Linked DNA regions of Cricetulus griseus. The protein of the gene in region 2 interacts with the protein of the main gene of each other region in a biochemical or structural test. Links are inferred from orthologs where the notes say so. Each region holds a gene or a part of one and is shown on either strand. Other genes may lie near its edges.

Evidence for each region. The genes of interacting proteins can lie anywhere in the genome.
Region 1: the proteins of Klf4 (region 2) and Hdac2 form a complex in vitro, tested with the Homo sapiens proteins (2 studies listed by BioGRID). The link is inferred for Cricetulus griseus from reciprocal best matches to the Homo sapiens genes KLF4 and HDAC2.

What each region holds. Positions count from the first base shown.
Region 1 is NC_048595.1:259,837,535-259,841,723, reverse strand, and holds the start of Hdac2 (histone deacetylase 2), read right to left. Parts: upstream 2,811-4,189; 5' UTR 2,596-2,810; coding exon 2,544-2,595; intron 1-2,543. UniProt on the Homo sapiens protein: Histone deacetylase that catalyzes the deacetylation of lysine residues on the N-terminal part of the core histones (H2A, H2B, H3 and H4).
Region 2 is NC_048595.1:88,330,850-88,335,191, reverse strand, and holds the start of Klf4 (Krueppel-like factor 4), read right to left. Parts: upstream 2,831-4,342; 5' UTR 2,354-2,830; coding exon 2,349-2,353; intron 2,232-2,348; coding exon 2,111-2,231; intron 1,473-2,110; coding exon 488-1,472; intron 375-487; coding exon 210-374; intron 1-209. UniProt on the Homo sapiens protein: Transcription factor; can act both as activator and as repressor. Binds the 5'-CACCC-3' core sequence. Binds to the promoter region of its own gene and can activate its own transcription.

The DNA.
Region 1 (4,189 bases), about 170 Mb from region 2:
TAGTATATTATTCAAGTCCCATTACTACTGGTATTGCCCTTTGCCAACCCAACCCTTTGTGCATCTAAAAGTCATATGCTTTTCTTATACAAAATTACTTTACTTGGCACCCTCTGTCCACAATTTAAAAGACAATTAAGTCACTGCTTTTTTTTTGAAAACAAGAATAGGGTTTGGCATTGAAGACAGAAGTGTAGAGAATAATTTGTGTAGTCTAGCATGTCATCCCATGTTAATCAGCATAACCATGACATCAATTTAAGAATCTCTGTGGTTTTGTTAGCTCCCCCAAATGCAAATATTCAGAAGTTAAGTAAGTGTATTCTAAATACACACCAAGTAAGAACAGACAAGAGACAGATAACCCAGCAGACTTCCACCATCAGTTATACAGTTGGTTGCTTACAACTAGGCATATGTAAAAAATCAAATGACTGAAAACCTCCTCCATTCCTCCCATCTCTGTGACCAGTGCCTATCCTGCCCCTCAACAATGGCTCACCTCCAAACATGAACTCAGGAACCAATAGCTGCTCAGGAAACAGCTACAGTCCTGTTTGACAACAGCAGCTGACAGCTGAAGGTCCTAAGCACCCGTTCCGACTGTTAAACCTTTCTAACAAAAATCGAGCCTTTACTTTAGAAAAGCTATAATTATAATTTTTCAAATTCATTTACAGGGTTACATCTTTTCCAGTGGATCAGAGAATGCAGGACAAGTGTTTGCCATGAATCCAACTTCACAATGTAATTCAAGTTTAAACTGACAGGTTCTCCCATCTCTTCCCTCCATGATGGTGTAACTTCACATAAATTTATTCAACACATACATAGTCCTCTGAAATTTAAGCTGGGCACGCCTTTAAGGACTCACCTTTAAGGACTCACCTTTAATCCCAGCACGTGGAGACAGAGGCATGTGGATGGATCTCTGTAAGTGAGACATCAGCCTACATAGTGAATTCTAGGGCAGTCAGGACCACATACAGAGAGGCTGTCTCAAAAAAAAAAAAAAAAAAAAAAAAGCCCCCAAACAAAACAAAATGTCATTTAGATAGTCTTCTCTATTTTCTCCTAGCTTTCTGCAAGGTTTTTGATTTTCCAGCCAAAGACATGGGTGTCTTTCATTATTATTATTATTATCATTATTATTAAAACAGGTATTAATGCTCAACAGGGGTGGCACACACCTTTAACCCAAACACTTGGGAGGCAGAAACAGGAGGATTTCTGGGAGTTCAAGTCCAGCCTGGTCTACAGATCGAGTTCCATGACAGCCAGGGATACACCTAGAGAAACCCTGTCTCTAACCGCCCCCTACCACCCCCCCAAAAAAAATCCAAGCATTAAAAATTTCCACCAAACCAAGAATAGGTAGGACTATTTTCAAGTTAAAGTCAGTTTCATTCAGCCTAGGATCTCTAGGCTCTTATCTACCTCTCCAAGATACTGTGACTTCAACACAAAAAATATAGAAAACAGCTCCCAACTTTGCATTGCTTTGTAGATTATCAGTCAGGTCTTTCAGGGCAATGAGGCTAGTTCTGTCAAATTATTCCTTCTCTCAACAGTCATCTACTAATGTCTTGGTGAAATCCGAAAGACAGGGCATTACTTAGTGTAACTGAGACCCGAGACCTGCTCAGCCTATAGAACTCAGACAATTATTGCCCATACTCCAAATCACCCCTTACCACCACCTTGTACCATTCACTAACTACATTGTGAGCTCCACCCTACCTGTTTGGAATATTTAGTTCACTTCTCAAAAGTTTCCTGCAGCAGGGTCCCCACCACCCTTCCTAAGCAAGGTGCCCATGTTTTCTCCTAACCCCCCCAGAGCAGGGTATAACTGCATATCGAACAAAGAGCAACAAAGACGTGGGTGGTAACAACCTCCCACAGAGGCATGCTAGGACCCATCTAGTAGGAACAACTCCAAGCTTACCTCCCTCCTCTTACTACTTCCCCACAGGCCTGCCTAGCTCCAACTCCAAACCCCTAATTGTCACCGAGGAAGTGCATGCAGCCCTTCAGTCCGAACCCTGAGAAAGAGGCGCTCAAAGAACCCGGCGAACAAAGGCGAGGGATGGAGTCCACGCAAAACACGAGCGAGACAGCGCCGCTCTGCGAACTTGGCCTCCCGCCAGGAGTAACTCCTCCGCAGCCCCACCCGAGCGGCGGGGTCCCGGTGAGGCTTGGAAGCGCAGCACAGACAGATCGCCAGCAAGAAGGGGGACCCGGCGAGCGGGGGAGGGGACGGGGACGTGGGGCGGAGCTCCAGGCCGCCGGCTTTGTGTAGTCAGGCCCGGGGTGCCGAGTGGGGTTCCTCGGGGACCGGTTCGAGGCAGTACACCCCAAACCTGCGCGTGCCCGTGCGGAGGACCCGAGAGGAGCCAGGGCGGCCGTCTCCGGGCCACGACCGCGAAGCCGGGTAGGCCGTGTCCCTGTCCCCGCAGACAGCCACCCTTAACACCCCGAGCGGCGCGTCCGCTCCGCCGCGCCCTCCCCGCAGCCCCGCCGTTGGCTCCACGGCCACCCACCGTCATAGTAGTAGCACACTTTCTTCTTGCCGCCTCCTTGACTGTACGCCATGGGCTCGGGACGCCGCCTCCCTCCCGGCTGCGGCTCCTCCTCCGGCTGCTCCCGCCCGCCGCGGCCCGGCGGCCAGACAAGGGGGACTGAGGGGACAGCGGGCGCGGCGGCCCGCGGAACAAGGACGGCCCGGAGCGAGATGGGAGCCGGAGCCGGGAAGGCAGTGATCACCGAGCGGGGGTGGCAGCGGCGCCGACGCGCGACACTCGGCGGGGGAGGCCCAGGGTGGCGGGGCTGGGAGGCGGGCGCGACCACTATGGAGTGACAGGGGAAACCGCGTCTGCAGACGGACGCAGGGGTCGGTTAGGCGTGGACGCCGCCGGATGGGGCGGGAGGGGTGTAGTGACAGTTAGGTCGTACGCAGTCCCGAGGTGCGAGGGAGCGGATCTCGGCTCCGCGCTCGCAGCCCGGACCCCCGCAGCCGTCGGGTTCCCCCTCCGATCTGCAGGTACTGGTTGCGCCCGGACTGAGCCTGCGCACTCGGCGCCTGCTCAAACGTATCCCGGGCTGTCTGGACCCCTCCGCGGGGCCCACGCCGCTCCCCTCCCCCACCACCGCGACGCTCCGGCCCCAGCCCGCCACGTGCCGCGGGGACCCCGAGAGGAACCCGCTTGAGCACTCCCCAGGGCTTCAGAAGGTGGTGCTCTCCCGCTGTGTGGTGGTCGGAGATTCTCACGCCTTCCGAGATTCGCGTGTTCTCCTCCCCTCCTCAGCCCCTGATAACTCTTCGTTACTGACTTAGAGACTTTAATGGCAGGTTGTACCTCCTGGATTGAATAAGTATTCGTGGGACTTGAGTATAAGCACGGTTCTGAGCACCGATATGTGTTTATAAAGCTGTCAAAAGTGCTGGCATTCACGTGCATGTCCATTTCTTTATAGGCTCCAGTAGATGGGGGGAGTGTGATGCTGTCAACGGCTAAGGAATGGTCTGAGGACCGGAGGGGTGTCGAACTTTATCAGACTCCACATGCTTTGCCTACTGCATCAGACTGGATGTGGTATTGGCTGGGCACTGGGAGAAGAGCAGAAATCCAAAGAAAGGATTTGAAAAATTGAGTCCCTGTGTTTAATAGAGTGACATTTATTGAGCACCTGTGTAAGCCATCCTGCAAGGCCCAGGGAAAGGATGGGAGCTGACAGTCTAATGCAACACTCGCATCTCCTAACTATTACCATTTATAATTCCTTCTACATGCACACAAGCACACTGCCTCCTCCCTAAAGAGGTGATATTAAAGTAAGATCCAGCAATTCCACTCTTAGGCATATACCCAAAAGAAGTACATTCATACAGCAGGGACATATGTTCAACCATGTTCATAGCAGCACTATTTGTAATAGCCAGAAACTGGAAGCAGCCTAGATGCCCCTCAACCGAAGAATGGATAGAGAAAATGTGGTACATTTACACAATGGAGTACTACTCAGCGGAAAAAAAAAAAAAAAAAAAAAACAATGGAATCTTGAAATTTGCAGGAAAATGGATGGATCTAGAAGAAACCATTCTGAGCCAGGTAACCCAATCGCAAAAAGACAAACATGGTATGTACTCGCTCATATGGGATTTTAGATTTAAGAGTAAGGATTACCA
Region 2 (4,342 bases):
GGTGAGAAACTGCACATTCAGGCAGCAGATAGCATCCATCAAGCAAAAGGCTTCTGGGCAAAAACACAGGCGCCTGTTTGCTGCCCTTCTCTGTGATCCGGGAGATGGAGAAGAGATACACCCCAGCACCTAAGAAAGCCCTAAGGAATCCACAGCCAGCCTATGAGCAGACAGACACCAACCCTCCTCCACAGCGCTGGTCCCCTTACCTGTGTGAGTTCGAAGGTGTGCCTTGAGATGAGAACTCTTAGTATAGGTTTTGCCACAGCCTGCATAGTCACAAGTGTGGGTGGCAGTTCTTTTCCGGGGCCACGACCTTCTTCCCCTCTTTGGTTTGGGCTCCTCTGGCAGGCAGGAACCCGGTGGCATGAGCTCTAGGTAAAGAAAGTGGGGGGTCAACTTTCATTCAGGAGTCTCCGAGAACTTCCCCCCATCCCATAGGCAAAACTCCCCAGCAGCAGCTCTACCAATCCCTTCCCCCACTGACCTTGGTAATGGAGAGATGAGACTTGAGACGGCATCTGGTCTGGCAGGAAAGGAGGGTAGTTGGGCCCCGGATGGGGATGGAATCCTGGCGGAAGAGGCAGGCCAGGGTGACAGTCCCTGCTGTTCAGCAGTTCCTCGGGACTCATGGTAGGGGTAGTCCTGGTGGGGAGCTGCCGCCCCAGGGGGAAGTCGTGTGTGCTGGGCCGGTGCCCGTTGCTGAGCTGAGGTCCAGCGCCCAAATGGGTCTCTAGGGACCGGCCGACTGTGCAGGAGGAGACCGATTCTTGCTTAATCTTGGGGCACATGCGCGGCGGGCCACCGCTGTAGGGCGCCACCACCACAGGGTGGCTGCCGTCCGGGCTGCCTTTGCTAACACTGATGACCGACGGGCTGCTGTACTCGCTGCCAGGCGTGCTCAGCGAAGCCTTCAGCACAAACTTGCCCATCAGTCCGCCACCTGGCGGCTGAGGCTGCTGTGGCGGAATGTACACTGGGTCCAACTCCGGCCGCAGGAGCTCGGCCACGAAGCCGCCCGAGGGGCTCACGTCATTGATGTCCGCCAGGTTGAAGGGGGCCGTGGGAGGTGGCGCAGACTCTCGGGGGTAGAGGAGCCCTCCACCTGTGTTGCCGGCAGCCACGCCCGGGTCACCTCCAGCCCGGATCGGATAGTTGAAGCTGCAGGTGGAGGGCGCGCTGGCAGGGCCGCTGCTCGCCGGGGAGGACGAGGATGAAGCTGAGGCCGAGGAGGTCACAGTGGCGGCCACTGATTCCTGGTGGGATAGCGAGTTGGAGAGGATAAAGTCTAGGTCCAGGAGATCGTTGAACTCCTCGGTCTCCCTCCGGGGTAGGAGGGCCGGGTTGTTACTGCTGCAAGCTGCGCCAGCTCCACCACTCTCCAGGTCTGTGGCCACGGTGGCCGCCAGGTCGTATGGGCGGCCGGGAAGTGGAGGAAGTCGCTTCATGTGAGAGAGCTCCTCTCGCCAGCGCTGCCAAGGACAGAGAGGGAGAGAGAAGTGGTTAGTTGTAGCCCCTTGCTGCCACTCCTAGTATCGACTTGGATGAAGCACACCAGACTCCTGCCATAGGAACTGGACAGGGCAGGAAGGCAGCTCCAGGGACTCCAGGTGCCAGCGCTTCAATCTCAGCCAGCACCCGGGTAAGAGGCGGCCCGTCGGTTCCACCTCAAACTAGTGCGGCACCTCCGCCAGCCCAATTTTCTTCCCAGCCAGATCCTCGAGACGCTCCAGCCGCCCACGGAATTGGGACACTAGGACATTGTGGCTTTCTCCCATGCACCGTAGCCACCCGGTCTCCTACGCGCTAAGCTCACTCGTGCCCAGAGGGTCTCGAGACTTGGCCACCAGTGGTCCTCGTGCACCCACCCCACGGCCCGGACGCCGGGAGACCAGCGAGGAACCGCTGTGCGCCCCTGGCGGTACCGTAGTGCCGGGACCACACGCACTTAAGGCCGACTCAAGGGCCGAGGAGCCACCCTGGGAAGGCTGTAGAGTCTCAACGGAGGGCAATTCTTGTCCTAGCCAGGGGCTCCTGGTTGACCCCTGGATTCTGCCCATCCACCCCATAACATCCCCAGAAATCTACCGGGCACTAGCGCGACACTCACGTTATTTGGGGCACCTGCTGGACGCAGTGTCTTCTCCCTTCCCGCCGGGCCGGACGCGAACGTGGAGAAGGACGGGAGCAGAGCGTCGCTGACAGCCATGTCAGACTCGCCAGGTGGCTGCCTGCGGGCCGGGCGGGGCGCACAGGGACCAGGAGTCAGGGGCTACCCTGGCCACTGCTCCGAGGTTTCCCACCAATTCTCACCCTTTAATGTTCCCCTAGCCCAGCATCTTACCTACCTCATTAATGTGGGGGCCCAGAAGGTCCTCCGGAGTCCGAAGAAGAGAGAGGGGTACCCGAACCCCAAAGTCAACGAATATTAAAAACAACTTTAGAAACGAAACCCCAAACCAAAAACCCCAAATTCCCCGAGATCCTTCTTCTTTGGATTCAATATAAACCGGAGATGTCTTTTTAAAAAAGTTCCTTTGTATACAAAAATGCTTAGAAAAGTTGTAAACTCTTAAAAAAATAGACAATCAGCAAGGCAAATAAGTAGGTCCGATGGCCAGGCTGCACGCTCTTGGACTCAGCAGTGTCCCCCACCGTTGTCGCGGCCACTGTGGCTGTCGGCGGCTCAGGGGCTGTGGTCCGGGCGGTGGGCGGGCGGCGCCGCCAGGTGAGAATGGCCGCGGTGGCGCGGAACTGCGAGCTGGGCGGTGGCGCGGGGTGCGGAGTCCTGGGGGCTGCGCCGGGTGCACGCGGCCATGGGCGCGGGTCACGGGCGGGTGCTGGGTGGGGGGCCAGAGGGGCGGGGAGGGGCACTCGGCGGCTCCCGGTGCCGCCGCCGCCCGCCACCGCCTCTGCTCCCGCGCGCCCGGAGCCGCGCTCGCTCTCTCGGCCGGGGAACTGCCGGCGGCCGCCGCGCGCTTCTTACTTATAACTTCTCGCTCGCTCGCTCCCCCGCCTCCTCCCCGTGGCGCGCGGGGCTCCGCCGCCAGGCCCCGCCCCTTGCCTTTCTTCTCCCCGCCTTCCCGCAGCCCCCCTGCGCGTTGCCATGACAGCTAAATAAACAAACTCCGCGCACGTGGGGGCGGGGGCGAGGGAGGGGCACGGGCGGGGCGGGGCTGGGCCGTGACGCCAGCCGGGCAGCTGGCGGGCTGGAGCCGTGCTGACGCCGGCGGCGGTGGCGGCGACGGCGGCTTCGGCGCTAGGATCCCGGCGTTGCTTCAGTGGCACGGCGATTTAGGGTCCTCTGTGCGGCCACGGTCGAAAGCCCGGTCACGGGAACCCTTGCCAGGACAGGGTTGGTGGGGAGAGGGGCGGCGGCGAGCCCCTACTCCTGCTCGCGGTTGCTCCTGTCGACTCTGCTCACCCAAGAGCGCGATTATCCGCGTGACTCATCCAGCCCGCCCTCCCTCGCATACGCACGCAGAGGCCGGGCTGTGCCCGTGGGGCCTCTTGCAGGGTTGGGGATAGGGGCCGGGTGACGGGGGGCTAGGAGTCTCAGGAGCTCCGAGTAGGGTCTGCTATGGAGTAAAAAGGCCAGGATGGGCACGTAGTTACAGTTTTGATAATGGAAAGAGCAAGGAAGGGAGTTAAAGGATTCCAGATTTACTTGCGGGGAGTGGGAGCGCAAGGAGGAATCCAGGCGCAGAGATACCTTTCACCAGGAATCTCAAAGCTCTTTACAGGCTACGCACTCGCACTCTCAGTTTGAAGATGAGAAAAATGAGTCATAAAGAGGTGAAGCGGCGAGGTAAAGGTCACAGGACAACTCGCTCCCTTCAGTTTAGGTTTCGAGCTGGCCAGTCCACTCAGAGGGACTTTGCTGGGAGGTGACCGTGTGCTGGGAAATGGAGCACTGCGGTGGGACCCTAGTTCTCTAAAAGTGGCACCCAGGCCCTTGGCCCACCGGGAGGGGAAATGGCAATCGGTCTTTATTTCGGTCTTGTAACTCCTTTTCCCATCCCCACTACCTTCCTAGTGCGTGATCAGTAATTTTCCAGCCGGAATATGTTTTCGCCCTCATCTCTACAAACAGTACTTAAAAAAAAAAAGTAAAAAAAAAAAAAAAAACCCAAACCAAAACGTGAGTGTGGTGTTAAGAATCACTTGCTAATGAAGACTGGGTGTTTACTTTGGATTTGGGCGCACATAGTTGGGCTCCACCGCCCTCAAGGTTGAATCTCCTCGCTCCTGGCGGAGTCACTTGAAGGCAGGGGGTTCAGGAAGATAAGAAAGGGACTTAGGAAAGGTTCGGTGCTCCAGCACAGACAGTGTGTGCACTCGC